Linked DNA regions of Oreochromis niloticus. The protein of the gene in region 4 interacts with the protein of the main gene of each other region in a pairwise test. Links are inferred from orthologs where the notes say so. Each region holds a gene or a part of one and is shown on either strand. Other genes may lie near its edges. The genes, in order: heyl, pom121, dtx2 and RNA-binding protein with multiple splicing.

What was found.
Region 1: the proteins of RNA-binding protein with multiple splicing (region 4) and heyl interact in binary tests that used the Homo sapiens proteins (3 or more experiments, as listed by UniProt). The two-hybrid records come from large-scale screens. The link is inferred for Oreochromis niloticus from reciprocal best matches to the Homo sapiens genes RBPMS and HEYL.
Region 2: the proteins of RNA-binding protein with multiple splicing (region 4) and pom121 interact in binary tests that used the Homo sapiens proteins (3 or more experiments, as listed by UniProt). The two-hybrid records come from large-scale screens. The link is inferred for Oreochromis niloticus from reciprocal best matches to the Homo sapiens genes RBPMS and POM121.
Region 3: the proteins of RNA-binding protein with multiple splicing (region 4) and dtx2 interact in binary tests that used the Homo sapiens proteins (3 or more experiments, as listed by UniProt). The two-hybrid records come from large-scale screens. The link is inferred for Oreochromis niloticus from reciprocal best matches to the Homo sapiens genes RBPMS and DTX2.

What each region holds. Positions count from the first base shown.
Region 1 is NC_031985.2:27,787,428-27,794,435, reverse strand, and holds the start of heyl (hairy/enhancer-of-split related with YRPW motif-like protein), read right to left. Parts: upstream 3,015-7,008; 5' UTR 2,526-3,014; coding exon 2,446-2,525; intron 330-2,445; coding exon 263-329; intron 173-262; coding exon 89-172; intron 1-88. UniProt on the Homo sapiens protein: Downstream effector of Notch signaling which may be required for cardiovascular development. Transcriptional repressor which binds preferentially to the canonical E box sequence 5'-CACGTG-3'.
Region 2 is NC_031975.2:24,313,475-24,321,353, reverse strand, and holds the start of pom121 (nuclear envelope pore membrane protein POM 121), read left to right. Parts: upstream 1-4,879; 5' UTR 4,880-4,914; coding exon 4,915-5,489; intron 5,490-6,167; coding exon 6,168-6,374; intron 6,375-6,603; coding exon 6,604-6,753; intron 6,754-7,543; coding exon 7,544-7,624; intron 7,625-7,744; coding exon 7,745-7,879. UniProt on the Homo sapiens protein: Essential component of the nuclear pore complex (NPC). The repeat-containing domain may be involved in anchoring components of the pore complex to the pore membrane. When overexpressed in cells induces the formation of cytoplasmic annulate lamellae (AL).
Region 3 is NC_031975.2:27,654,111-27,661,973, forward strand, and holds the start of dtx2 (putative E3 ubiquitin-protein ligase DTX2), read left to right. Parts: upstream 1-4,850; 5' UTR 4,851-5,177; coding exon 5,178-5,487; intron 5,488-5,952; coding exon 5,953-6,538; intron 6,539-7,863. UniProt on the Homo sapiens protein: Regulator of Notch signaling, a signaling pathway involved in cell-cell communications that regulates a broad spectrum of cell-fate determinations.
Region 4 is NC_031967.2:14,331,530-14,339,185, reverse strand, and holds the start of RNA-binding protein with multiple splicing, read left to right. Parts: upstream 1-4,648; 5' UTR 4,649-5,113; coding exon 5,114-5,176; intron 5,177-7,656.

The DNA.
Region 1 (7,008 bases), on a different chromosome or scaffold from region 4:
GTGGCACAATGACAGAAAGCTGCTTAATCTTTTAGCTTTATTGTCTAACTATGACAAAAAATATCATCATCTCAAATTCATTCCGTACCTGTTTTTCAAAAGCGCTGGGCACCAGTCTACGGAGCTCTGACAAGCTGTGGTTGATGCGGTCTCTGCGCCTCTTCTCTATGATCTGCATAAGAAAAAAAAAAGCAAACTGAGTTGCAGACCCAACTGAAAAAGAGACAGAACCGATTAACATCCAATGATCTAATCCACTCACCCCTCTTCTCTTCTTTCGAGCCAGAATCTGCGAGGCGCTGCCTGGAGACATGGACCCGGTGACTGGGCTGTACCACAAAGATAGTGTTGAAGCAAGAGAGCGAGATGAGTAAGAAGGGACACAGAGGAAAAAAAAAAGAAGAAAAAAATCATTTGATTTTCCTGCATATTGTTATTATTACCCTCCTTAATATGACACAGAAGCAGGATGGCACACCAACTCCCTTCAATCTAATTTGCTTTTTGGGCACAGAAAAGCAGAGCAGTGCCCGGGAGAGGAGGGAAGATGAGATTGTTTTCACTTTAATGCATTTCTGGACATTAGTCTCAGTAAAATGACATGCTGTTCTCCTTTCCGTCTGAGCAAAAGCACTTTTAGAAAAGATGATTATATAGCCTCGAGGCGATGCTTGCGCTCACATGGGGCTCCAGCACGCTGCAATGGGAGCATGAGCTCCTCCGAGTACAGTCATCCAATATGGATTGTGTTTGTTTGTGAACTCTCATCTTACAGGCCTGAAAGAGACTCCGAGCCTCACAGTTCCCTCCAAACTGGCCCGCTAGAGACTTATTGCGTTTCTATTAGATTTTAACATGAGGGCTGCCAGTTTAGCTGTGTGTTTTTGTTTAGGTTTATCTTTGATGGGGTTGACATGAAAAGGCAGCGCTGTCTTCTGTTTGCATGTCACATGGCAATTTAATTTATCTAAACCGTCTTTAGCGTTACTGGCTCGCTCAGCGCCTGTGATGTAAGCAGCACTGCTGGGAATGAGTTTTTGTATACTGTTACAAATACACTTTAATGACTGGCGCTTTGAATCCAAATGTCTTTTAATGCTAAGTCAAGGAATTTGACTAATTTATCTAAAAAGCAAAACGCTTTAATGACTTTAAAATAGAGTGTGCAGCGTTCAGAGTAATTTTACTGTTTATCGGGCATTTTCCACAACAATGGAACAAGTTACATGCAGTGGACTGCGCTTAATCACCTTGGCACTGCAGGCCGCGTTTGCATTCAAAGGTTAGAAGTTTTTTTTTTCCTCTTCCAGAAGTATTTTAGCATTTAACCAGCCGTTATAACTGTGTAGTTCACATTTTTTATCGGATTTTTCCAGTGCAAAAGCAAGATTTCAGTGTTGGGATTATAACTTTACAATAAAAGCTGAGAAAAACTCATTTGTTTGTGAAAAAGCAGTTTTTCTATGCCTGAAAATGCAGTCTTGGAAATGCAGCAGAAATGTGTGTCTGACACAGACGAGGAGATCTTTCATAAAGTTGCTAATTAAATAACACACTGTTTGCATGGAATAATAAAACTAAACTCATGTGGGAAAATGCACTTTTTTCATATTTAATGTGACGTAAAATATTAAAACTATTTCAGGGTTGTTTATTAAAAAGCAACTCATGAGCTTTCACTTGTGTTTCTCATGTGAAGAAATTTTCTACATCAACTGCAGACATTTAATTTTAAGACGTCATGCTATAATCATTCACTGTGGTTCAAATCAATTAATTTGTTATAAATATACATACATATATAAATTAATATTCCTGAGTGAATGACTTCCTGCTCATGTTTTCATCTCCTGTGTTGACACTGCAGCGTTGACAGGCCTTTTTTGTTTTACATGGATGTCACGCATGCAGCTTTTTCGACTAACCCCTGCACTTGCATGTGCAACAACTGCTGTAAAGCCTCTGTTTTACACAGAAAGTGAACACTGTATATCTTACCTATCGATCTAACATAAATCTGTAATATATCTGCTTTTCTGAACAAGAGAAATTCGCTGACTTGAGCCTCAAACTTAGTTGACACGTCAGTTTTTACACTGACATCACTGAAGCGGTTTTTAAATTTGCTTAAAGATTTATAACATACAAATTAAACCGTGTCAAGACTTTAAAAAAATAAAAACCTTTGCACCTGAATGCAGGAATCTTTAAATAATAAGAAGTTCTATTTTGCTGTAATTGCTTTATAAACACAACCTTCTGGGACTTCAAACTTTTCCCACAGTCTTTTAAACTCGTTACTGCGCAGCAGACTGGAAAACATGCTCGGGGCAAATTTGTCTTTAACTTTGTCTGCTAAATACAGCCGCGTGCCATGTAATTTTCTTTTCAAACATGATTGGAGGGAACGTGTTACAATCTCAGGTGTAACTGAAGGAGGCTCACCAGTAGCTATCTTCTTGGCCCACGTCAATGAACTCGTCGGTGTCCGAGTCCGGGGAGCTGTAATCGTGAGGTCTCTTCATTTCTCTGCCCCTTCCTCACTGGCTGGAGCGATGACGTCTGATGACAGAAGGACGAGGAGACTGACAGGTCTGGCTGGATGATCTCGTTGGTTCCTGTCTCTGCTGCTTGTAGAAGTCTCCCTCTGGATGAAGCACTCACCCTGCGTGCCCCTCACTCTCTGCTTCTCTTGCACAGTTACTTATAAGAGCTCTGTTGTCCTTAGTTACTTCTTGTCACTCGTGTTTGTTGTTTTCGCTGTCGTCGGTTCTTCATGCGTCTTCTTTTTTTCTCTCTCTCTCTGTGAGTCAGTGGTGCCACTTGATCAACCCCCAAGGGCCCATGACAACTAAGAAAATTCACAAGCTGCTTTAGTCTTTTACTCTATCACTGTCATCCAATCATAGTCTCTCTCTCTCTTTCTCTGTTATTTCTCTCTTGGCTCGCTCGCTCTGTCACAGCCACCCAATGACAAAACAGGACTTTGGCAGTTTGGGCAGGGTTGCCAGTTTTGGCTCCCCCGCCTCCTTTCCGTGTCCCTCCTCTCTCCCTTTAATCTGCCCTTCTCTGGCTTTTCACCCTCCTTCCCTCTCTCCCGCACCCCCCTCGGCCTCATCTTTCCACCCCTTTGCTCAATCATCCTCTGTCAATTAGCCTCCAATTTCATCCTGCTTTCCTTCCTTCCTTCCTTCTGTCCTGCTTTCTTTCTCATTCTGCTCCTTTAATTATGCTGTTCCATAGAACAATGGCAGCAGGAGGGAGAGCGAGGTGAGGAGTGTGGGAATTATGAACTGTGAAAGCACTCCATCATACAGAGGCGATACACAACATCTGATACTCGCACAGTCTCACGAGTCACTTTTGACTCGAGTTCTTGAGCAATTTTGTTTTGTGAGAGGGAAACGGCACAGAGTGAAAACACGCCTGCAGAGATGAAACGCAGCCAGCGCCGACCTTTGAGCACCACAAATGATACAAATAGAAAAGTTTTGTACTTGTATAGAAGGATTTTGTGAGAATATTTAAGCTGTGTCAGCAGTTTAACTAACAGTGTTGGCTGTTTTTTGCTCTTGTTTTAAAAGGTGACACCTAAAGTACCTAAATTATTATAAGAGTATACCGTAGGGATTTACAAGCAATGCCAATAATTTATGATCATCTTTGAAAATACAGCTTTTATCAAGCATCAATCTCCAGTGCGACAAATAATGTCAACAAAGTTTTAGAAAACTTCAAAAAAAATCATATCACTGTGTAGAAGAGATGGACATACCGCTTTGTGGTTGTTTTATGGAGCCAGAACTGAGCACACAGCAAAGTGCTAAGCTATCAGTTAACACTGACAGTTGACATTTATGAAAAATTGCTATGAAAGGATAAAAATAAGCAATAGTAAGCTACAGAAAGTCTCTGGTGGGACAGGGTTTTGGTAACAAGCTGTAAATTTCAGAGAGTGAGTGAAATTGGTGTTGATTTTTTCAATTTGGAAATCCACTATAGACTGTATAAAAAAGATAGACATAACCACTGTGACATCAGCTATCAGTTCACTGCTACAGGGTGGATCTGACTGTGAAATCAAGGGTCAGAGTACCAGAGTACCGTCTTCCTTTTTTACTCTAATAAAGACAGTAATTTATGCCAAAAATGTAATGTTTCCTTCATTGACTTGAAACTAGCAACGGACCCCAAAAATTACCAGGAAACTATTTATGAGTAACTGGAAGTCTTTTTAAAGAGTTGCCCCTGCTGGCCATTAAAGAGACTGCAGAACCCAGAGGCTATGCCCATCGTTTATATACAGTATATGTAAACTATACACATAGATGTGTGGGTCTAAAACATGCATCTTGCCAACTGATGCTGCTAGCGTTATCTGAGGACTCAGCATTCCACTTTCTCATCTAAATATGGTCGGTTCTGGCAACAGTCGAACAGCATAAGCAGGCTTTAAAACAGTTATCCAGAAATAGTGGGATATGTAACCATTTATATATTTAAATATCCAACTAATTATACATCTGTCTTTCATATGCATTCTATGTCAAGATGTAGATTTGTCACTATCTTTTTGAAATTACAGCTTCAAGTATTTCAAGATAAGAAGTGAGGCACAGATAAACCCAGCTTATTCAAATTGTTTTTATTCAGCCTGTGTGTGCAGAGATGAGGGCAGGTACTGAAGGGTCAAGGAGAGAAGTCACCCCACTGAGTGTCTGAACATCTGGGCTCTTCACTGGACAAGATAGCACTCTCTATACGCTCACACTCACACACACAGAGCTCACTCGCGGCACTTGTTTCCGCTGCCACCGTGGGAAGATTGCTGGTGCAGATTGCCATGGAAACATGAGACCCAGGCGCCGGTTGTTAGGAACGATGCCTAAGTGACCCAGCAGTGTGTGCATATGTGCATGTGAAAGACTGCGAGAGGCCAAGTGGCATGCCCTCTTGCACACAATGCCCAGCTGAGGGTGTCTCTTCCTGCCTGGCAGACTGGAAGGGTGTGTTAGTTTAAACATAGGCTGCGACAATGAATGAGTGCGAGGTCTTTGTGTATACTAGTTGGGCAAGTGAAGTCGTTTTTAAAACTTTAATTTGGTCATCTTTTAAATGGATTTCCAGTAGTCTTTATGTTCTTTTCCGCTTCATCTTGCTCAGCGTGACGACAATTGAGCCTTTCCTACAATCATTTTTGTCATGTCACATGTGTAAAGTAGTGGAATAACTTAAAACATGTGCAAGTGAGTGTGTTTGCAATAGCCAAGTGTGAGTAATCAGTGTGACCATCACCAGGGGGCTCGCAGTGTGGTGGATATGAGTCAGGACTAACAGAGTGGAGAAATCCCTTTTCTCTCCCAGCAAACAACCCCCACTACCCAGTTCACATATCCTTTCATTACTAATCATTCTCTAATTCAGATCTGGATTTCATTTCGGCATCAGAAAACTGGGGGAAAAAAAGATAAAAAGACATCTATGAAGTCAGCCTTCAGTGTTCTGTATTGCTATTTTTATCACCCACTCTTTACTTCTCTTCAAAGATTTACTTTCCCATTTGTATCGCACGTCTCTTTAAAAACAAGAGAGAGAGATCGCTCTGGTTTGCCGGCCACAGCGCCCAGCTGTTCCAAGATGAGGCAAGTTACAAGAAAAGAAAAAAAGGGAAAAGGAATGAAAAGTAATTAAGGAGATAAATGAATAAATAGATATATTAATTATGAAAATGGTTTCATGGTGGGGGCGTGTGCGAAGGAACGGTAAAGCCAACATAAGAGGGAGAAGAGAGCTGGCACTGGATGGTGGGATGGAATTCTGGGAGATTTCTGGCGATCTTGGTCGGCCACTTCAAGTACTCTCCCTCCCATCCCACCAAACCACAACAAGGCAAAGTCCCTTATTGAAATTAACAAGCTCATACTTTTACAATTTGCATACACACGCACACATGCGCAACTCAAATATGAACGTGTGAAGGCATGAGGACGCGCACGCACGCACACACGCGCGGGAGGCCACGCACTGATTCATACAAGCTAGCGCACACACGAAACTCCCTCACACGAATGTGGACAGCACATACCCACAATTTATAAGGCACAAACACTCAGCTGCAATTATTCTTTCTGATGCATGACTGCTGCTATTGTTTGAAACTCTGTGAGATGGAACAAGCTCAGCGGGGTATTTTGTTTGTGACTTTTTTCTCCACATTTTTCAGTCAAACTAAATAACTGATCACTGATACGTCTCACTGCATGGTTTGCTTTCATTATTTGTACTGTACTGTGTTTCAGTAACAGTACACCAACTTTATTTCACTTTTTCTATTTTTTTTTTGGTCAAATGTAATGTTCATGCACCAGTTTGAAAACAAACAAAGGGAGTTAAACCTGCTGAAAAAAGAAACACGAAAGTAAAATCCTATGTATCATAAATCTGAAGGAGGGTCTTTTTAATGCGTTTTTTAAATTTCTAATAAAAGTGAATATTTGGAAACGATGCAGATTTTCTAGAAAATTTGATTAACTATATGCAAATCAAAAGAGTGCTGTGTTATTATGTTAAAAAGTAGCAGTAAAATATCAATAATAAAATGTAAATCTTGCACATAGAACAAGCTAAAAAACGACACCTTCACATTCACAATATAATAATAATAATATAATATCTTATTCACAGAAACTGGAAAAGAAACAACAAGAGAACAAAGGAAAAACTCAGATGTGCAAAAATGTTTTTACCGAAATGACTCTGATAACGCTATACTGATACTGACTGCTATAATAGTGTGCTACAATGATGTGATTTGATAACACATGTAAAATTTGTGTTGAAGAAATGTGAAGTGTCTTAAATCACAAGTTATGCAGCCCAGCAGGGGTGACTTCTCTGATTAAAAAAGGGCGAAAATCTGACCTAATTTCTCACTTGATTGATCTCAGTAAACCCTTTTCTACAGCATGATCTCATTGGCTAGTTTTAGGTTTTGTTCCGTTTTTTTCA
Region 2 (7,879 bases), on a different chromosome or scaffold from region 4:
CTGCATCTGAAGAAGAGGCTTCTTCTTCAGTCTCCTCAGAGAATGACAGCATCACTACCAGTGATGAGGATTACCATCCAGTGCCCGATTCCTCTTCAGCAAGTGAGAATGATACAGAGACAGCAGTCGAGGCAGAGCGGCTAATGGCAGAGACGGTAGGAAGAAGCGGCAGACGCCGGGGCGCCGGTGGCTGAGTGGATGTCTCGTTCTGGGAATATTGAGTGGTTTCCCACTGCTGAGGAGACCATGCGCTACAATCCAGTACCCACTGGTATCACTCCAGGGCCCACCCTGTATGCAGTTGCCCGCATTAGCACCCTGAGATCTGCATTTGACCTGTTTGTGACAGAAGAGATCATTCAGCTGCTGTGCACCCACACAAACCTGCATGGGAGGCGAAAGTGTGAGGATTGGAGGGATGTGGATGATGTGGAGATGAGAGCGTACATTGGGATTTTGATTCTCGCTGGTGTCTACCGCTCAAGGCATCGCGTGGTTTGTGGGCTGACAAGACCGGACGGGCAGTATTCCGTGCTACAATGCCCCTCTACCGCTACTCCCAGATCAGCACTAACATCCGCTTTGATGACAAGCTCACCCGCCCGGGACGTTTCAGGAACGATAAGCTTGCTGCATTTCGCGTCCTGTGGGAAAAGTGGGTTGCTCGTCTCCCCCTGCTGTTCAATCCAGGAGTTGACGTGTGTGTCGATGAGCAGCTGGTTGGATTCAAAGGTCGATGTGGATTTCGACAGTATATGCCCAAGAAGCCTACAAAATATGGCATTAAAATCTGGGTGACCTGTGATGTGGCAACCTCCTATGCTTGGAAGATGGAAATTTACACAGGAAAATCACCTGGAAGTTCCCGGGAAGTTAATCAGGGAATGAGAGTTGTGCTACAACTGACAGAGGGGCTCCAAGGACACACTGTCACTTGTGACAACTTCTTTACATCATTCAGCTTGGCAGAGGAGCTGCTCAGAAGAAAACTAGCTCTGGTTGGCACAATCAGGAGAAACAAACCAGAGCTCCCTCCCCAGCTTGTTCAGCTGAGACAGAGGAAGATTCTTTCATCTCTCTTTGCCTTCACCAAAACAACCATGGCAGTCTCCTACATGCCCAAGCGAGGGAAGAATGTGCTTCTTTTGAGCACAAAGCATAGGGAACCAGCAGTCAGTGATGGGGAAAAGAAGAAGCCAGCAGCAATCCTTGATTACAATAGGTGTAAAGGTGGAGTGGATAACCTAGACAAGGTTGTTGGCACCTACAGTTGTCGGAGGAAAACCAGTCACTGGCCACTGGCTCTGTTCTACAATCTTCTGGACGTCTCAGCATACAGTGCCTTTGTCCTGTGGAAAGCAGTGCATCCTGAGTGGGAGTCCACCAAGACCCACCAACGAAGGGTGTTCCTGGAGGAGCTGGGCCACATGCTGGTGACTCCAGAAATTGCAAGACGGCCTTGTGCCCCACGCTCAAAAGCAGCCGCTGCTATTGTTGCTGAGATACAGCAGTCAGAATCAGAATCAGAGTATGACCCACAGCCCATCAACAAAATGAGGAAAAGGTGCGAACTGTGTATAAACAGAAGAAGAACGGCAACCACTTGCTCCAGCTGTGGAAAGAGTGTCTGCAAAGATCACTCTGCTGTGGTTTGCGTGTCCTGCCTTCCCTGAGTGCGCGCACACACACACACACACACACACACACACACACACACACACACACACACACAGAAAGAGGATGTATTTTGTACAAACAAGCAATAAAAGGCCGTTTTTGGCATGACTAACAAGGTGGGAGTTTCTTTTATTGGGGTCATTACTCACAGGAATAATACAAAATATTAATATTAATAATTATTATTTTTGTTACTGGCACTGACCTGCAATGATTTAAAAAAAAAAGAAAAGGTTTCGTCATTCAACTGCTGAAAAAATTTGAACTTTATTGCTATTTCCCCCCCAAAAACATAGTAGTAACATATAATTTGACTGGTATTCAAAGGGTATAATTTCTAATTTTGAATTATATTTTGGTTTTCATGACTAGGACTGGTTTTCATTTAAAAATGAAGTTGGTCTAAGTAGAAAAATGTTTTAATATAAATGAATTTTATAGCATTTTGTAAATGTAAACAAGGGGTGGCCATTTTTGGCCACGAACAGTCTGAGAGGGAGTTTTTTTGTTTTTCTGCCACTGCAGAAAAAAACAATGTTGCATAAATGTCATTGATGCTGTTAATTATTGCTATGCATCTAACCTTCATCATGGTTAGCAAATAAATCAGATGGCATGTATTATTTAGAAAAAAAACTGGGATTTTATGATTTTCTCTATTTATGAGTTGTTATGATTATGTGCTCTAACTAGTATTTAAAGGGTTAAATTTCAGAATTTTAATGAAATTGTGATTTTCATGAACAGCCCTGATGCTAATCTAAAAAATCATGTAAAAAAAACTGGACATTTTTCTTAATATATATGAATTTTATAGCATTTTGTAAATGTAAACAAGGGGTGGCCATTTTTGGCCACGAACAGTCTGAGAGGGAGTTTTTATGTTTTTGCTCTCTCTGCACTAAAATAACAATGCATTATAATCAGTGTTGATGTGAATCAATTATATGCCCCAGACTCTATACAAGAAATTTCAGTAGCAATGCAATTATATAAAATTGCGAGATTTGAGGTTGTCATCCAGCTGGTGCAGTGGACAAACAAACTGGTGTTTAAAGGGTTAAAAAATAAAAAAGTAATAATTATTTTATATTTATGGAAAGAACTGAAGTTACTTAAAAGCTTTATGCAGAAAAAATGGCAAAAAACCAAAAATAATAAAAATTACAGACCTAATCTGTAGGTGGCCACTTTTGGCCACGAACAAGCTGAAAGGGTAGTGATTTGATCAGACTCAGAGAGTTAAATTGACTTTCATACCTCTTTTTGTACACCAACTGTGACATTCTCTGAAGTAATGACAATCATATTCATGAATATAAATCTCAGGGAGGCCATAATTTCTGTTGTTTTCCTTGTTGTATGTTTTGACATAATATGGTGTTTGATTTATTTCAAATCAAGAAAAACATTTTATCCTCTTTTTTTGTTCTTCGTCTTTCAGATGTTCCTTTTAGGGGGCACCACAGTGCATCCTCCATCTCACCCTATCCATAGCCTCCTTTTCTGTCACACCAGTCCCTATGCATGAATTTTCTCTGTGCTCTTCCTCATTTTCAGTATCCTTTGTCCAATATATCCACTGTCCCTTCTTCTGCATTTTTCCAAACCATCTCAGACTTGCCTCTAACTTTGTCTCCAAACTGCTTAGCCCCCCTGATATTCTCATTTCTAATCCTGTCATTCTGCTCACTCCCAATGAAAATCTTAACATCTTTAGCTGTTTCTCTTCCAGTTCAGCCTCCTATCTTTTTCTCAGTGATACCAGCTCCAAGCCATATATCATAGCAGGTCTCACTACCATCTTGTAAATCTTACCCTTTACTCCCGCTGCTATCCTTCTGTCACAAATCACCCCTAACAACAGCCTCCACCTATTCTACCTTGCATGCACTCTCTTTTTCACCTTTCTTGTGCCCTGTCCATTGGTTTGGATGGTTAACCCCAGGTATCTGACCTCATCCAGGCATTCTCTGTTAAACAGTCTGGTCAAAAAGTCCATTGCTCGCTCTACTAGACATCTCCATACCTCCACAGGTTGTCATCTGGACCATCTGGTTTTCCACTTTCATCTTCTTCATAGCTGCCCTCAGTTCCTCTTTACTAATGATTCACCAACATTCCTTCATATATCCTGCTCTCACTCTCATTATCTCCATCCCAAAGTCCTCATCGTACTCCTTCCAAGAAAAAACATGTTTAAATAATATCACAAAATAAAAATTAACATTCTGCTAAAAACACTTGTCTGTGGTCTTGTCTAGGTAAATAGAAGAGTAGTATGGCAAATCTAAATTTAAAGGTCCACTGTTGTTTGGTGATTTTTGAACTATGCGCTGTTGGACTCAGGCCGGATTATTTTCCCAGGGAATTTACCCATGTAATCTTGGTGGCTGTTTATGTTCCCCTCTCTTCTAACCCCACTGCTGCATTTGACATTATCCACTCTGCCAAAGCCCGGTTACAGACTCAGCATCTGAATGAGGGCAGATCCAATGAGTTGAATTCGTTTTTAACAGATTCGACACTGCAGTAAATGCTCACCCCCCTACTGACCTACCTGTAGTTAACCTGCAATCCACAGCCACGCCACTCTCTCTCCTTCTCTCTCCATATTGCACCATAAAATCTTATGAAAATCCTGACACCCCTCCCACACCTAGCGCTTTCACTCATGACCAGGTTCAAAGAGAACAGAGAAGACTCCACTCAGGCAAGTCTGCTGGACCAAACAGGGTGAGTCCCCTTGTCCTCAAGGCCTGTGCCCCCAGCTTTGTGGAGTCTTTCATTAACTGTTCATGGTGAATCTGAGCCCGCAGAGGGTCCCAGTGTGGAAGACGTCACAGCGGCCCCCAGGATTACAGGCCTGTGGCACTGACTTCCCACGTCAGACCCTGGAAAGACTCATCCCTGACCAGTCCCAAACTATTATCAGGATCCCCTTCACAAACTGCATGCTGTGTTTACTCCAGTTATCTTTGTCTAATATTAAAATTGAATTGATGATCTGAAACATTTAAGTGTGACGAATATGCAAAAAAATAAAAATAATAATCATACATATGTTTTACACAACAGTTTACATTACATTTGTCCTAGGTTCAGCAAAAGGAAGATTAATTTAATGAGCAGTAACACTGGCGGCGTTTAACAGCCCCACCTCGGTAGATGGCGCTAATGCGCGTGAATACAAATATAAATCCAAGAAGTAATGTCGGAAGAACAGCATGATGGGATATGAGAGTCCTCCGGCGGCGCGTTGCCGCCATGTCTCCTAGAGAAAAACATTTATTGCTTCTCTCTGCTCTAGGCCTAGTTACTCTCGCTTTTTATTATATTCCTACTTTTCTTTATGTGACCTTAATTCTTGCAGTTTGTTGTATTGCCTGTTATTATCATAGCGGAGAACCGCTTCCCGCCAGGTTAGGCCCGAATCCTCGGGGTGGGCTAAACGTTCCGGCCGTAGTGCGGCGCTGGCTGTGGAGCTGGGAGGCGACCGGCGTCTCGGTACCCGCACGGGGGAGAGCGAAGAGCAGCGACAGCAACAGAGCCGAGCTCCGGGAATCAGAAGGACACTTAAGACAAAGACTCGCTGAAAGCGGCGTTTATCGAAAGGAATCCTTATCAAGCGAGTCTTTTCTTTTCAGCCCCCGGGATTTTCTCATGGGGAGTTACATCGGGAAACCGGAGAGCCCAACCGCCGACTCGGGGAGGCGGAGAGCCGTGAGAAATCCCCGAGAGCAGCTCCGGGAAAAGCTAGCCAGACCCAACCATGCCGTCTATACTCCAAACAGAAGGCTTTCATTTGCTGGGTATGTTCAGGCTAAAATCAAATCAATCACATCACGGTTTTACCGGCGTAATACAGCCCGTTCTTTTTGAATGGAGGCGGTTAAGTTGTTGGAATTCAAAAGGCTAAAGGTGCAGCTTGGCGGTTTTTAATGACTAACCTTTGAGCCGTCAGAGCGATCTCTGTAGCTCCACACAGCTATCCAAATGTGCTACACGTTACTGCAACCTTATACGTATATATGTGTACAGGTTAAGTCATGTGCAAAAGTTTCCCATTACAGTAATTTACTACTAATATAGTACCGGCATTTCCAATCTGTGAACAGTTATGATAGAAAACTTGAATTGTCGGCCATATAAATTACTTTGGAGCTGAAAAGCATATTTAGCAGGTTTGCTGTATTGGCAATGTAATAATGTATTTAGAAAGCAAAACAAAGCATTAGACTTTTACCTAATAATGGGATTTATTTCCGCTATCGCCCCAACCATTATAGAGACTGACAAATGGTATCTGACATGAAATATTAGAGACAGGAACAACAGTTCACGTTTTCTGTAATATTAGTGAGTATTATATGTTTGGGTTTTCCCATAAAAATCTATTATGGCCATTTGTGGGATTACAAAAACACAGACGAAAAACAGACTTTAAGACCCTTCATTTTGCCTTGGCCTCTAATTGTTCTGTCCTGCAGGGAGACACTGGGAGCAGCGAGCAGGTTCACCATCACACCCCAGCGCCACTACCCCCTGCAGCAGCCGGGTGTCTCGTCAGTGGGAATCCTTCCTCCCGTCAAATGGGACGGTTTCAGAAAGAAAAACATCCTCAGCCCTCGCAATTCCCCGGCTGCCCTCAGTCCTGTCACAGTGAAGATCGCCAGGCCTGACCACAGCTCCCCCAGGTCTCTGCATGATCTATGCATTACAGTGTTTCAGTTTAGATCATCAGCTTGAATCAGATCTCTTTAAACTCTAACATAACCTGTTTTAAGAGATTAATGTCAAAACCCTTTTGATACAACTTTTGCAATGGCTGTTTACCTTTCTTTTTATCCAACGCTTAGTAAATCCCTGATTTGTGTGTTGTCGGCAGCTCTGACTTTTGTGTTTGATTGCTTTATTTTTTTTCAGCATGGACCATTTGAGTTATGCCGTTCTCCCCAGAGCACCTGCCGATCCGTGCTCCAGAGAGAGTGTCCTCAAGGTGCTGAAGGAAAGCCGCAAGAGAGAAGTGGAGGACGAGGACAGGAGCTTTACAACTGAGCAGAAAAGCAAAAGAAGGTACGAGGCAGCACATGAATGCTGACAAGCTTTATATTTGCCTTTTTATGTAGTTTGGCAACACTTTGTTTTGTCTGATAGCTGTAAGGTTATTATAGTAAACTAAAAGTAGGTATAAAAACATTTAAACTGAAATAAATTTAAAAAATAGACTGGAAAAAAAGAACTTACTGTACTCACACAGCAAACCTAAGACACAAAAAGTATCATGTGTTTTGTTTAAACCTTCTTGGTCTGTAGGTAATACATAGTGTGGTTATTAGCAAGGCTACAGAAAAACTGCCTGTTGATGCTTTCAGTTGTCTCTGTCTCTTAGCTTTACGGACAGCTGCAAACAGAATGGATGAATAGCTTTTTCCTATTAACACCATTTCCCAGTCCATTTGTGGTGCACTTGTAAAGCTCACTCTTCTAATGTAATGTTCCAACAAAGTATACACTCCCACATAAGGCCTTGCATTCTTGTGAATGCATATAACAGCTGCATTATAATGCTGTATTCATTGCTTCCCTTTTTTTTCCCCAATAATTTGAATAGATACAGATCACATGCTAATACAAGATACAAATGTGGACTTAAAGTCTTCTATAAATACATTACCGGAGCTCAAATGCAGTTTTGAGTTACTGAAGGATGGCAAGAAAATTGGAAATATCACTAAAACTTAACACAGCACATTTTACATAGGTTTTCTCTATCTCTATTTTCTCTATTTCTCTATATTTCAAAAATAATAAATGGTTGTTGTTTTTTTTCCATTTTATTTGTTTTAATTTTTTACTTCCTAAGACGTAATGACAGCGGTGGAAGTGCACACTCTGCTTTTGAACCCCTTTTGCCCAATGGTACGCCGTCACAGCTGGTTCCGAAGTAAGTTAAACTTTTCTACTAGTCATGCTGTTAGATCATGTCTTATGAAAACCTGTGGTACAGGGTGAAGTATACTGTGGTGCTACCTGTGCATTAAGAGAAATACTTTCCCTTTCCCAGGCCGGGAAGTCTGAAAAGAGGGATGACCTCAGTGACTGAGGAGTCCATTATGAAGAGGTCTCGGACATCCTCAATCAGCTCTGGCAGTGGAGCTCATGCCCCAAGAGGAACCCCGGGCACCAGGAGAAATGCCAT
Region 3 (7,863 bases), on a different chromosome or scaffold from region 4:
ACAAACCAGAAACGAAGATGAAGGGAGGTCCGGGGAAATACACATGGAGAGACGCAGGGAGACTGAGGGGAAACAACACAGATGAACCAGCAATGAGGACGAGGTAACACACACTATAAATACACACGCCAGGAATCAGGGGAAGGGAAACAGGAGGGGAACACACCTGGAAGACATCACAACTGACGAGGCAGGGGAAAACGTAAACAGAACACACTGACATAAGACACAGACCTTCACAATAAAACAGGAACTACACATACAAGGACACACACGGGCCGAACAGAGTAAACACTAAACAGAGGAAGAACAGAACCAAAATCACCATAATAGAAAACACAAAACGCTGGGTCAAAAGGACCCAGGATCATGACACATTTTCTCAGTTTAAACATTTGATTTCTGTGGGGTTTTTTGTTCCATTGTGAACAAAGTGTGAGTTAATCAGATTTTCAACCCATTGCATTCATTTATTCATTTATTGTATCATATTTAATTTTTTTCACACAGTGTCCCAGTTTTCTCAGAACTGGGTTTGTTTGTATATCAAATGAGGCAGCATACATACTGCCACAACAAATACCATGTAAAAAGTGTGCATAGTTGTATCTGTTCACAGGATTTTTAAACAGTATTTAAAGATGTAGAAATGGCTAATGCAACATTTCCCATACCCAACAGATCAGTTTAAGCTTGCAAGTTTGTGATCAAATCCTTCATGGATCACAGCCCTCTGCTATTTAATTCTCCCTTACAACTGACTATTTGATCACTTATCTTCTTGTAAAGGTCTGCAAGACATCTGGACCAAAATCCATTTGTAAGCTGCTTATTAGCATTTACAACTGCAGACTTGATGAATTATGAAATCCATGATTTATTAACACTGATAAGTGTAGGTGACTATTTCATAGTGGCTGAGTAAAAATCAAGACTCCAAGATCCTTTCTTAATATCAAATGTACAAGCACAAACCTGATAAATATGAAACATCAGCCATTATTTAATAACCTTTATGTATATGTTTAATGTAATAAATGCTCACACCATGATAATGCTAAAGCTGTAAATCCTATAAGCAAGTTTGCATACAGAATGGCACCAATGCAGCTGTTAATGGCATTTCCAAATTGCATGTTGTCAAAGTAGACTACAGAGCGATGGGTCTAAATGTTGTGCTTTTAATAATTGCATTATTTTGCATGAATATTTCCAGCATTTTTGTATCCTCATTATCTTGTAAGTACTGGAGATGCTTACACTGCATTACATAATCAAAATGTCACGATCTAAAGCAAGAATCTAGTTTTTGTTTAGCACATTTTTTAAAATTTTGTCTGCTATACCTTATGCAACTACTGTTTGCTACAGAAAATGTCTAATCCCCGCTGAATGGCAGTGGTAGCTGGAGGTTGCTAGTGCTCGCTGGGTGAAAGTGGTTGCAAAGAAGGTGCTGCATCAAAAATCTTCGGTTGCTAGCTGATTGTATGGTTGCCTCAAATACTATATAATTGGTAGCAAAGTGGTAGTACAACTTGAAAAAGTGTGAAAATCTGTGCCTCGAGGTGCAGCCAACGTGTCTCAAAAGGTGCAACTTCCTTAGCAACGGGTGGTTACCAGATGGTTGCAGACAGGTATCGAGGCCTATCTGATTGGGGCCTTATTCACTCAATCTTACACTGATTGACACACATCCTACATGACATGGTTAACAGTAATTCCAATTCAGTTCAGTTTTATTTATATAGTGCCAAATCACAACAATAGTCGCCTCAAGGTGCTTAATATTGTACAGTGGAGACCCTAAAATATTACAGAGAAACCCCAACAATCAGATGACTCCCTGTGAGGAAGCACTTTGGCAACGGCGGGAAGGAAAAGCTCCCTTTTAACAGGAAGAAACCTCCTGCAGAACCAGGCTCAGGGAGGGGCGGGGCCATCTGCTGTGACTGTTTGGGGCTGAGGGGAGGAAGACAGGAAAAAAGACATGCTGTGGATGAGAGCCTGAGATTAATAATAACTCATAATTAAATGCAGAGTGGTGTATTAACACCATGTGTGGTTTGTGGTCATGTATATTCAAGACCTCAATAACAATTTCTGAGCATCACGAGATATATCATAGTTTCAATAGCAAAACTAATTTAATGTTTGTGAATGTTTTATGTGTTTTCTGATAATTCACTGGAGAAAACTCAAAAAACTAATAATAATAATTTGAAAAGTAGTGTTTGAAAGGTGGTCTTTTTACCTGCATTTTGATAGCAGGTTCATCTTCTAGTCGTGACAAAATCATTTTTAATTGTATTTTTTTAATGATTAAAAATGTTTTTTTAAGTGCAAGACTCTGACCCTGTATCACAGGAAACAGCAGACATGCATCCACATACATATCTGCCAAGCGGGCAGCTTTGTTCATCCTTTCGCCTCTACTTAAAATGTTGTTTGTAATTTGTGTTGTGATGACCGTGATGAAGGCCCCAAGTCAAAACACGTCTGTCAAAGAATTAAATTGTTCTGTATTCTAAAAGTATTGCTGGAGCTTTAAGCTCCTTTGCTCCATTATTCCATTTTCTTAACTTCTCATCCAGCTGAGGGTCACAGGCATGCTGGAGCCCATCCCTGCTGTCACAGGCACAAACTAGTCCGTCACTGTGCCTAAGTTTGCTTTTTAAAAATTTATTTTGCTTATTTACAGAATCACGGTAATGGACTGTGGCTCTCGTTCAACTCTATTTTCTCAGTTTTAAGAAGCGTGTGACCTTCAGCTACAACCAGGATTGTTTAAGTGGGCTGAGAAAGAGAGAAAACCGCCCCTAGAAACCTAATCATAGTGATGCCTGTGGATTATTGCAGGGACACTGCTTCTGTTCCTGTTAAATTTTTAAATGTCATTTCTTATTGCTGCAGGCACCACAAACAAAGTTCCAGTTACCTTCATGAGGAAGAAGGCAAAAAATCTCAAATGCATATTTCACAACTTCAGCTAATAAAACCAAAACTGTGTGGACAGATAGAAACTGTTTTTTATAAATCTATGTCATACGGGCATAAGGACTGCAAATCTTCCTTGAGATCATTTCAGTGTTTCTGTTTTCTTGTTGCACGAAAGACAAAGACAAAAAATAATAAGAACATCAGATGCAATAAATTTATTTTACACTGATAAATCTGAAAACATTTAAACTGCAGGACTTTAAGAGCAGACCTCGGGAAAAGATGACTCAAAGCAATGTTCTCACTGCTAAATCATTTGACTCCGTCTTCAAACCAAATAATGGCTGCTTGCATCATTTTTTACTGTCATTTTTTTGTGCGTGCGTGTGGAGACAATGTGTTCTAGTTACATTCGAAAAACCACAGATGAATGGTTTTATTTTTTATATTGAAACATCAGATCCTCGTCTTTATTAGTTATTATTATTACATTTGTCACTTTGAAACTACTTGGCATGGACTTGGCTATTGATTATGTGTCACTTTATGGGCTAAGGGGAAAGCTCAAATCCCATTTGGCCACTACTTTAATCAATGTTCACACTGGTGTCAGAACTGTCTAGTTCTATTATCACGTAGCCGAATTTAATGAACACCATCCTTACAAACTAGATCCAGTAATAATCTAGTTTGTGTGGCAGATGGATCACAAAGCCATTTATCGCCATCTTTAGTCTTATACCTGTGCTAGCACTGGAATTTTGGGCAGCATTCAGTTTAGTGGTGTCTGGTAAATAATTAGTAATTACTCAAGCAACCAGCCTGAGGTTTTAGAAGGCCGTTTGGTAGGTTTTCATATGCAGTTATTTGTGTCATACCCATTTATCTCCAGTTGAGGGCAGAAATACTACTGAGGGGGTTCTAATCTCCTTTGAATACAGAAGCAGGGAAAGAAGAGGGGGATAGTGTGAAAGAAGAAGAATGCAACCTTCATGCGCACCTTGTAAGTGAAAATTTTAGAGGTGAGGAGGTGTGCACAAAAAGCTTTTGTTTTAGTCATCTGCTGTAGTATTGGTCAAAGATGACATGAGAAATGGTGCTCCACCTTAAGAACTACCAACCCCCACCCCCGCAATGCCTTAAATAAATCATCACCTTGCACCACCACTTGTGCCAAGGAATGAAGACTGTCTGCGTGTTATCGGCTGAGATGATAAAGAAAAAAAATCCCAGATCTTTGCGGGCTCCAGATGTCACCTGGAAACATTTTAATCACAATTTTATTTCACAAAAAGACATTAGATGTATTTGATGAGATTTCACTTACACACATACGGGCCCCTTGTTACAAAGAGTGAATATTATTATAATACGGTTATTATAGTTAAACCAAATTAAAAACTGAAATTAGGTGTGAGAGGGGGAAAAAGGTTGAGTTTAAATAAAAGCCTAGACTTTAGAAAAGAAATAATTAAGTGAAGCAATAATTACCTACTTACTAAATTCTTAGTATAAAATAAAAGTTTTGTGATGGGGCATTGGTGCCTGTGTTTATTGATACTGGAATGTCTGCTTGTCTCTGTGTCAAGTATTTTTATCGCTGTATTGTATTTTTGCCCTAAATCTTGCCGCTGACGCATACCACCCATTACATTATAAATAAAAAGTGAATCTAATACTTAACCTAAAGAATTAATGAAAAATACACTAAAACTGAGCATTCTCAAACAATAAAAACAAAACTGAAATGACACGTTTAGCTCCGGAAACCGAATTAAAAACAAAAAATCACAACAAAAAAAGGATATTAAATACGCTCATAGTCTGTGTCACTGTGGTCTAAAATAAATATAGCTTTCAGAAAGGGGAACCAGCGGTTTATGTACGTTTTCTGTTTCAGATTGAGACGAGAGTGGTGATATTACCGACGGTCCCTGAAGGCAGCGGCAGAAGAAGGACGGATTCCTGGCAACGCCGCAACAAAGCTAACGTTAACCATGTACTGCTAAGCCGTGTGAATGCATCAGCTTCGCAAACATGTACTTAGGTGTTTATCTGGGCCGTCTACCAATTGATATCTACCTCATAACTTCCTCAAAGGCGCGTTAACACATTCATAATGGAATTTTTTAACGAGCCAAGCTAGCCCAGCTAGCACACTTTGTCTTCGTCGCAGCCACAATCGGTTGACTAGCTAACCAGAACGAGTTGTTGTTAGCTTAGGGCTAGTTTTGGCGAATATGGCAATTGTGTCTGGGTCCTGTGCCAGGGTAAACGGGTCTAGAAACGGGCCTCCTGTGTCAGCTACACCCTCTGGATCCGTCGGGCAGTCTCAGCCCATGATAGCGGTGTGGGAATGGCAGGATGACCAGGGCTACTGGCGGCCTTACAGCGGCCAGGTGAGCGCCTACATCGAGCGGTGTCTGTCACCGCGGGGCCACAGAGGAGGAGCACCCGGCTCTACGAGCATCTGTCTCGGACAATCAGACCCCAGCCTGTCGCCTTACCTCATTGACATACCAAGCTTGAAGCAGTTTCGACAGGACACAGGTAAACATATCTAACACGTCATGGCATGACCTTTACGTTTATTCCTCGTTAACGGTTTTGCCTCAAACCTCACAGGCCCGGTTGGCTGTAACGTTAGCCGGCTAGCATTAGCTTGCAGGGGCGCTGTTGTTTTGATTGATGTAAGCTGAGAAGTATGCATAAAGTTACAGTTCTTTAGCGAGATTTTTACTGTGAACCTAGCTACAAATCATTGAAATACGTCACAACATTGTGAGATTAACATGTAAAGATGCTTGGAGTGTCTTAAACTGTCATAATTTTGTGTGTGTGTATGTGTGTTTTAAATTGAGTTATAGTCATATATGTAATGTGTCATTAGTTCTGGCATACAAGTGAATGAACAGGGGGCTTTTCGTTTATGTCTTAAAAACAAAACACACACACAACTTTGCAGTTTTCATTCAGTTTATTCACTAAAAATCAATGTGCCTCTTTTATTTTTAGGTAAGACCCGGTCAGTACGCCGGTCTCTGTTTGCCCAGTCCTCCGGCCTTGGTAGTGGTGTTTACTGGGAATGGGCCAATGATGAAGGAGGATGGACCCCATATGAGACTCGAACCTCTATCCTTTTGGAGCACAGCTATCAGGCTCGCCAAGGCACAGCAGACCTGGGCCCGCATGGATACAATTATATAGTGGATCTCACATCTCTGGCGCAGGTTAACAAATCGACGGGTTTCAGACGCCAGGTGCGACGCCAGTGCAACCTCCCCTACCCGCTGGCTTCTTCCGGACCCCCAGCTATCCCCTCGGGCCCCGCCTGCTCCTGCCAGCAGTGTTTAAGCCACAGCAGCACCGGACCCATGCCAAGCCGTTCGCGACATTCCTTCTCATCAGGGAGTCTGAACCGGCCTAGTCTTCAAGGCACAGGAAGGGCTGTGGCGGCTCATCCCACTTCTGTCTACTCCCCGTACCCCAGGAGACCTCTCTCAGTTGGTGGCATGTCCTGGGGCAGCCCCTGGGCTCCACCGACATCTGGCAGCCAACTTTCTGCATCTCTGACCAACTCTACCAGTGCCAATGGGTTAAGGTTGGTATCTGACACCTATCCTATCCTCAATTGTGTGGTTTGGTTAGATGTGCAGGGTTCATGTTACAAGGTCCTCTATCTGCTTTCCTCCTCTTCCTCTTTGTCTTTCCTGCCTCTGTCAGTGTTGACCTTTCTTGTAAAACAGGAAAGGCGGAAAAAAAAAAAACAGATCTGTAGCTCCAGTACTTCATTGGTATGTTTGCTTTGGCTCACTTCCTGTGACTCTTGTCTGTGTCATCACTGACCTCCCTTCTTTTTGTTCCAGATAGCAGAGAAAGCTTACTTACAGGACAAATTGCTTAATTCAGTGGTATAATAAATATCTAGTTCACTTGCAGCTTCTCTGGGCTTTAATTTTTTTGCACGCTGAGTTTTAGCCACTAGAAATTAAAACTAGTGTATTAAAAACATGGTTGCTCAGTAGACAAAAGAATTGCCTACATTTTTGCGGTGAATGTTTACATTCACTAAAGCCCACACTTTCACATTTCTCTTTGAGGTGTATGCTTTACAAAGAGAAATGGTTGCCATGTGTTTAATTTAATTCAATTTTTTTAACTCCTGGGTGTGGATGCTAAAGGAGGTGCACCCATGCATGGAAAAAATAATCATTATTGTGTAATAGTACATCATAATACTCCCTTTCAAGTACTTTAATTGCCAAGACTTGTATGACTGAAAAAAATGTTGCAAACTTCCTGTCCATTGAGTCACTCCACCCTTTTGGGTCACGGCTGCCTGTGGTGTTCTCCCTCTTCCCTGCTCCTTGATCCCAGAGCAAGGAGTCTGTGGAGTCCATCCGACCACGGAACCACAGAACAAGGGATTCTCTTAACTTGGCTCACTTTCTGCTACAGTTTGGCAGTCGGCTTCAGCTCTCTTTTGTTCACTGTGTGGCTCTCCTGGGTCACTGTGCCGCCTGGGGCTCGCTTCGCCCCATCTGCGCCAGCAAATTTCCTGGCGGGTGCCCTTGTAACATGAACTGCATGGTCAAAAACATCCGTTAGTCTGGATCCACCATCATCCTCACCTCTATTTTAATTCCTTTGTTATGTTTTTCATTTGAATTGTATTTAAAAGTTTAAGGTCAGTTACTGTATTATGTTTAACTTAATGAACAATTGTATTACTATCTTTATCTTTACAGTTGCGGACATGCTGTCATAGCCCATAATCATTCAAGCAATATGTCTTTCAGACTTCTGTGCACAGAGCCCTTTGGCTACAGAAATAGACCAGTACCACCTCAGCACTGAGTCAGTGTTGCCTTTTTGCAGCCCTTTAACTGGATTTAGTTTAGCGCTCCATCATACTCGAGGACTGAC
Region 4 (7,656 bases):
TTCAGTAGACTCCTGTTGTGTTTAAATGTGAGACGAGAAGTCTTCGGACATTGTTGAGACCTGAATCTGAGGAAATTCCCCAGCAGGGCTCATTTAAAAGAACTTCAGGGAAGGTGGTGAAATATCAAACCAATATAATAGGTAAGAACTGAGTTATTGGTAGGTGCCTGTTTTTCTTTTCAGGTTCAAACAGAGCTGGGTTAGATGATGTTTATGCTGATCCAACCTTACTGACTCCCGATTGATTGTAGCTTTCAAGTATTAGTTCTGACCTTCTTTCCCCAATTCTTCAACAAGGCAGGGTCCTTTTAAGTGAGATTAATATGCACGTTATTTCTGTTTTTATCAACTCTTAAAGAAACAAAGCTTCTCTGAGCAGCCTGCCTGACATTGTTGCTTTGTGCTAACCCAGCAGCCCCTTAGATAACACAGAGATATCTTCACGTTGGGCTGGACCATGTCAAAGCTTGCTGACATGTTACCCAGGACACCGTGACCAGTCTGTCTCCTGCCGGCTCCTCTTTCTCCCCCCCAACCCCCAGTGTATGTGTGTGTGTGTCTGTCTGTCTGTGTATGTGTGTGTGTGTGTGTGCTTTTATTGTGGTGGGCACCCTCCCTCTCCGAGCATCAGACCACACAGCTCAGCCCTGAGACCTGTCAAACACAGCTGGGACATCTCCCCCACCCGGCTCTCTCCGTCACCCCGCCTCAACTCCTATCCCATCCTCTCCTCCGCCTTCCTACCTCTCCTCCCCCTCCTTGCTCCCCAGACTCAGGCTGGAAGCTTTGATACAGGGGTGTCGAGAAGCAAAGGGGAACATTTCCATTTTTATCTGCTTCGAAGGCTCCGAGACCCTCCTCCCTCTCCCATCAGCCGCTTCTCATCAGCATAAAAAGACTCTGCCGTGTCCCTTCTTCGGCGCGCACGCTTCAGACGCGGCGTAATTGATACAGACGTGATCAGGGAGGGGAAAGAGCAGGAATCTGTACGACCCATCCACGACGACTGCTTTTTCCTTCTTTTGTTGCTTTTGAGGTGCAAGTTCAGCAAAAAAAGACAGACTCTCTCTCTTTTCTGCGCAGGCTGTCATAAAAAAGCGAGCTCCTGTCCTGTGCAATAAGTGTCACGCAACATATAGTCAAAGTCCCCACGACGGAGCTGCTGTCAGCTCCTGAACTTTTCACGGCAGAATACAAAGTGAGGCAGTTGCTCAAAATAAATGTTTTGAAACGGTAAAAACAATTCGAGGCTGCCTTGTCACCTGATCGCCGCTTTTAAGGCTGTTCTGCAGCCCTCACCGTAGACAACAGCAGGCAACGCCAATGACATTTTTAGTATTTTAACTTTTAGTATTTCTCCTGTTGTTGTTGTTGCAACATTATTTCCACACCTCCAGGATTTAGCTGTTTTTTTTTTCACCCCTGCACTCTGAGGTCATAGACGGTGAGCTCACTATGAAGTGGCGCAACTAATCACGCCCCAATCTTGAGCATTTTACAGGTGTTATCTCCAGTTCCTCTTTTGTTTTCAACCTGGCCTACTCACTGTAAATCCACACGGAGACGGGTGAGAAGAACCGTTCGGCTGAAACGGCAGAACCCCTCCGAGGCCTTGAACTGATGAACTGAGAGGCACGTGAAATTTATTAAGCAGTCAGGTTGATAATTGTCTGCATCTCCTGCTTTGCAGGCGATGAATTTTGCTGACTTCTGTGTTTCAAGAGGGGAGAAATAGTCCTGAGTGTGCATGCCTTTCCGGGTGACAAGTCATCTTATGCTCACCATGTTTGCAGTGCAACTTGGTTAATCAGTCAACAGGTTATAGACATACAGTAAAATCAGTGACTTTAAAACTGTGGTGCATAAAACTATATAGCAACATGAAGACACATATGAAAAATATACTACGAGTCATAGCTGCTTACTGATCAGGGTAGGCTGTTTCAGGGTTATACAAGGCTGCTCATGTGTCGAGCACCAATATATAAAGACTCATTATAAAAGACTGTGACGGGACACAATCTCACATGCCTCGTGTACTTTCAGTGCCACAGCAGTGTGCTGATTTGCGCTGTTTCTACGGTGCAATAAAGTTTTGGCTTTGAGCCTTGGTGATTCATTTTTATATGAGGAGTTTTCATCTTGTCCAAGTGCTGTTGTTCGCTCCTACGGTCCAAAGGCGTGCAGGTCAGGCAGTCCTAAAAGCACCTGTAGGTGTGAATGTGAGTGAGACTTAAAAGTGTTGGAGTGACTAGAACATCTCACATGTATAGGTGTGTGTGTGTTTTTGTTTTGTTTTGTTTTTTTTGGGGGGGGGGATGACAATAAACATGCATGTAGTAGTACTGCTGAGTGCTGAATCATTTCAACTGAATTTAATCCCCAACAGCAACCTTGAAGTCAAATTTTAAAGTCATAAAATGCAGTTCCTCAAATGTCCACTTGAGGCTGATTTCAAACGTGAGTCAGTCCCTGCAGACTTCTAGTCAAATGGCCCAAATTTACTACAAAACTAAACACATGGTTAAAAAAAAAAGGTATTTTCCCTACATAACAACTGTACAGAGGCTGAATTTTGTAAATAAATTTGATCAGTTTACATTGTTTTAAAGCTTACAGTTAAGTGTGTGGTTGACTAGGCTGCTCAGTGTCAGCCAGGCTCCATGAACTCCTTTTGACCTTTTGTCCATGTTTGTAGTGTTGGAGCCTTTGGAGCATTTTTTATACATTTATCCAGTGATAGTGTGGATTCTCTTAATTGTACATCCTTTTGTATGTTATTTTTGGACGATCGTGGCTCATGAGTTGGCAGTTCGTCTTGTAATCAGAAGGTTGCCGGGTCAAGCCCCGGCTCGGACAGTCTCGGTCGTTGTGTCCTTGGGCAAGACACTTCACCTACCGCCTACTGGTGATGGCCAGAGGGGCGGATGGCGCAATATGGCAGCCTCGCTTCTGTCAGTCTGCCCCAGGGCAGCTGTGGCTACAACTGTAGCTTGCCTCCACCAGTGTGTGAATGTGAGAGTGAATGAATAGTGGAATTGTAAAGTGCTTTGAGGGTCTCGAAAAGCGCTATATAAATGCAATCCATTATTATTATTATTAATTAACAAGTACCTGTGTCTATGTGATTAATCCCTTACAACCTGTGGCTGCACCCATAAACATGAATGTAGCTTCTGTCTCTGTAAAATAAAGCCAGTGCAGAAGTGCCTTAAATCTGCTTTCTATTGAACGCAACCAGGTGGTGATAGCTGTGGTTGCAAAAAGACTTTGTGTCATACACACGTTTATCAGAAAACAGCTTTCTGCTCTGATCTCTGGGTTTATAGGCTAAGTCACCCGTTTCACTTCATATTGAATAATAAATAAAGTCTATTTTGTAAACCTTGTTCATGTTTTGCAGTGGAGGATTATGCTAATTGGCTAATGGCTTGTGAGTAAATAGTTATGATTCCAATAAGCAAGCGGTTTCACGGCCAGACCCGCCCCTCCTCGTCACATCTGTTTTGATTTTTTTTTTTTTATCGTTACTTCGACGCTTCAGACTTGTGGGTGACGCCACAATAGTGATGTCCATCTTTTACCCTGTCTATGCACCTTGCTAACCAAACTAACTAGACTCAGCTGCTAAAGTAGAACAGCTAATGTAGTCACTTCTGGTTCCAAATGAACCAGATGGCAACAGCTGTAATACTAAAGTTGACGCTTCATAACAAAAGCCGACAAACCAAAGTGTGATGTCACGGTGTTTGGTGCCATCTTTTATATACAGTCTGTGATTTTCCCAGATACTTTGAGTATGGTTTTAACTTTGTGTCCATACTTTGTTTATTAATGTTATCAAGAGGTCTAATAAACGTCTGGACATTACCAAACAAAAAGAAAATACACTTTTGAAAAAAATATTCTTCATACACAGTGTGAGGAAAATCAGTTTTTCAATTTAGATTCATTTGAAGGGACTGGTTTTACTTTTTCCAGGCTTTATGCTTAATTGGTTTCATATAAAATATCAAAACTTAAACATAGAGCAGATGTGTCAAACATAAAGCCCAGGGGCCAGAATAGATCCACCAAAGACTCCAATCTGGTTCAAGTTCCTGTGTTTATTTCACAGTAAAAATAAATAAATAAATAAATAAATAAATAAATAAATACAAACATAACCACATTTCTTGCACAGCTAACGGAACCTTTTGTGTAATTTTATTTTTTGCACATATTTCTTTTATTAAAACAAAAATGGGATTAAATGTGTGGTTAAACTTCTATAGGCTGACAGAAAGAGGAGTTTTAGATCAAAGTTAGCTGTACGTGGCCCACAATGTAAAATGAGTTTGACACCTCTGACATTGAGTAAATATATAAGAAACACACATTATAAGAACATGCACGTGTAATAAAGGCCCAGAGCAGCTGATGAAAAACAAAACAAAGAATTAAACCAGGACATATGAGAATATGTGCTGTGGTGACAGAAATGACATTCATGTGGTCCAAAGGGTGATTGGTACTGATTTTCCACTGAAGCTCTTGCAGCACTTGATAAATCTTGATAAAGCCGAGCAGAGGGTGCATCCCACCCAACCAACCCCAAACCCCTCCCTCCCCTCCGCTCTCCGCCTCCCTCTCTTCCTCCCCTCCCCTGCTGCACGCAGGAGATGGGTAGAGAAGTTTGCTCGCGGCGCGGTCCGGTGAACATTACTGTATTTCATTTGGGGAACAGCAACTGCAAGAGGCTCTGGAAAAATAATACTAATTAAAAAAAGACGAAAAGTAAGGCTTTCCAGGGAATGCCGCGGAATATCCAACTCAACAGCAACATCAGCCGCAGCGAATTATTGTAATTATATATATATGTATATATATAAAAAATTAATGAGGTTTATCTGTCATCATTGATGTGGCCAAATTAGTGGGAAGCTCGGGTCAGTAGGGGGACAGCGGGCTCGCGCGCGGACTGTCGGAGGGGTGCTTTGAATTTGTGGGTCCTGGAGAAGAAGCGCAGAGCGAAACAGATTCAGAGAGAGAGAGCGAGAGAAGAGGAGGAGGGGGAAACAAGGAAAGAAAAGAAGAGCCGTCCGACTGAAAGTGAGAAAGAGTCCCGCTCAGAATGAATAACAACAAACCCGAGAAAGAAAACGAGCCGAGTGAATTCACCAACCACGAGGAGGAGGTACGTATGCGAGCCCGAGGTGCTCGAGCGTCTGTCTGTGATACTGTAGGTGGCTCCTTGACCCGTAATGACATCCTTAATAAAAACCGAGTCATGCTAACAGCGACTGCTTCTTTTCCTCCACTCCTGTATTCATTAAGGTGTAGCTCTTATGCTGGTTTGTTTGTTTTCTGTGCCGTAATCTGGTTTTACCTCATAAAAGTTTCCAGTATTGCTGTTTACATTATTAGACCGACTGTATGGTTCGCTCATAACACCATCTATCACCGGTTTCCTGCAGGTAATGCGCTGTTATTGCACTGAATTCTTCACCCGTCTTCACTTTTACGTTTCTCCTCTACTTTTCTTTAAATTGTACTGTAGACTTGTTGAAGTTAGCCGTCATTTTTTTTTTTTTTTAAAAACAGCAGCAAGAACAGGGAAGGACATGAAGCACTGATGAATCACTAACTAGCAAGTCTCGAATAACTTTGAAGTCAGGACTGTGTTTTTCCTGGCTGTGCTACGGCATTGCTAGCTGTGTCTTACTGTACAATAAAGCCAGACTTCACACAGCACTGGAAAGCAGTAGTAAAGGGAATTCAGAGCCAGGGCGAATTAGTTTTCACTGAAGCTGAGGGAGCAATTGAAGTTCAAACAACTGCTGCTGCAACATGTAGGTAATAACGGGTTGTAACAGAGAGCCCACTGCATTACAGTGGAGCAAGAATAGCCTCTTCTAATTACATCTAAACACAAACAGAATGGCTTTGTTTACCCCCCCCCCAAAAAAAAGAAAAACATTTGGTGGAAATCCATTTAACATGCTCTCAAAGTATGTTTCCTCTCTATCGTGCAGGATAATAGCCTCATTTCTTCCCTTTCTCCTCTGTAAACATTGCACAATCCGGCCCAACAATATCTCCTCTTTGGTAAATAAGCCTGTAACGGCTCTCTTTGCATGAGGCGATTTTCTTTGGCTCGGATGAATCTCTCTTCAAATGACAGATTTGTTATTTCAGAGCTCCGCACATCCGCAGTCGAGTGATGTAAGGAAGGTGTATCAGATTATATCAGATATTTCTCTTGGAGCAATTTGATTAGGTCTCAGTGTAGCGTTGGACACTTTGTAACTGAATAGTGAGACATAGCCAGCCTTATGTAATACCATATTTGGTCCACTGTTGAGGTTACTATGGATGCGGGGGAACTGCTGTAGCACCACACAGATGAGGTAAAGACCAAAGAGCTGATTTCTTGAGGTTAGGGAGTTTGAGTTTAAAGCTTTCGTCACCTTCTCCTTTTACTAACAATACGTCAGTCAAGCAGAGCCCTGTAACCAGTACATGGCCCTGAGGGTATTCTTGTTATTGAATCGAATAAAAAGCTACTAGTCCGTGTAAAACGAACATATTCAACTAAAGAAAGATGACTACTCAGCACCAAAAGATGTCTGTGTATGACCATCTAACTGTACAAACTGCAAACATGTCGAATTAAAAGTCTCATAAGTGGCAAATACTCACATTTCAGAAGCTGACGCCAGAGAAATACTTGAGTTTTTTTTGTCTAAAGCACCTTCTTAAGTACCTGCCTGTTTTGAATTAGGTTGAGCACAACACAGCTATAATTAAACCAAAATAGGGCAAAACACAAGAAAAACACTTGATCTGTTACTATCAACACAAGCTTTTTGTAGCTGAAATGTTTAGTTGCTCATTTTTATGAGCGACTCATCATATTAAAGCACGAAAGCTTTCAAAATGTGAGGATTGGCTTCTTTTCTTTTTGCTTTCGTGACACTCGGTTACAGTCACGCCGCTTACGGATCATTTTGTAAGACTGAACAGTTAAACGAGGGCGTCAGATTATTCAAAGGTCTCAACTGCAGGATAGGTCTACCAGGAAATAAGCCATGTTAGCTGTAGTTTAACAAAGACACAAGGCTTCAAACTTCTACCCAGCTATTAAAAATTCTGTGATGTCCATAAGCTCAGAGATGAGACGCAGGTTGTGTAAAAGGCAGGCAGACAGAGACGTAAAAAGGAGACTAATGGCCAGAGAGATCTAATGGTTTTGGAAATGTTTGGAAGCCATCCAGACCGGCAGGGACTTAAATTTACTTGGGTGAATTAACGTTAAGGTCAGACAGCACCACTTTATCTTTTGTGGAACGGTGTGTGTTGCATGCAGAGGAGCAGGGAGTGTGTCACACTCGCGGATACATATTCAAGCTTTTTGCAGGCCCGTGCGGATGTACTCAGACTAATTCACGCTTTGGCTTAGTTTGACTTGTTTTGGGGTTTTTTTTGCATGAAAGTCTGGTCTGCACAAATGTCCCTTCACCTGATGCAGAAAGCATAAAAATGCCAGCAACAACACCACAGAGGTAACCATAAACTATAACCTCAAGAGAGCCAAAGTTTAACAGCCTTGCTGGTATGACTCTCACATGCTGAGCAGCAGCAGCTCTCCGCCCCTCCTCTTGGGCAGTGTAGTAT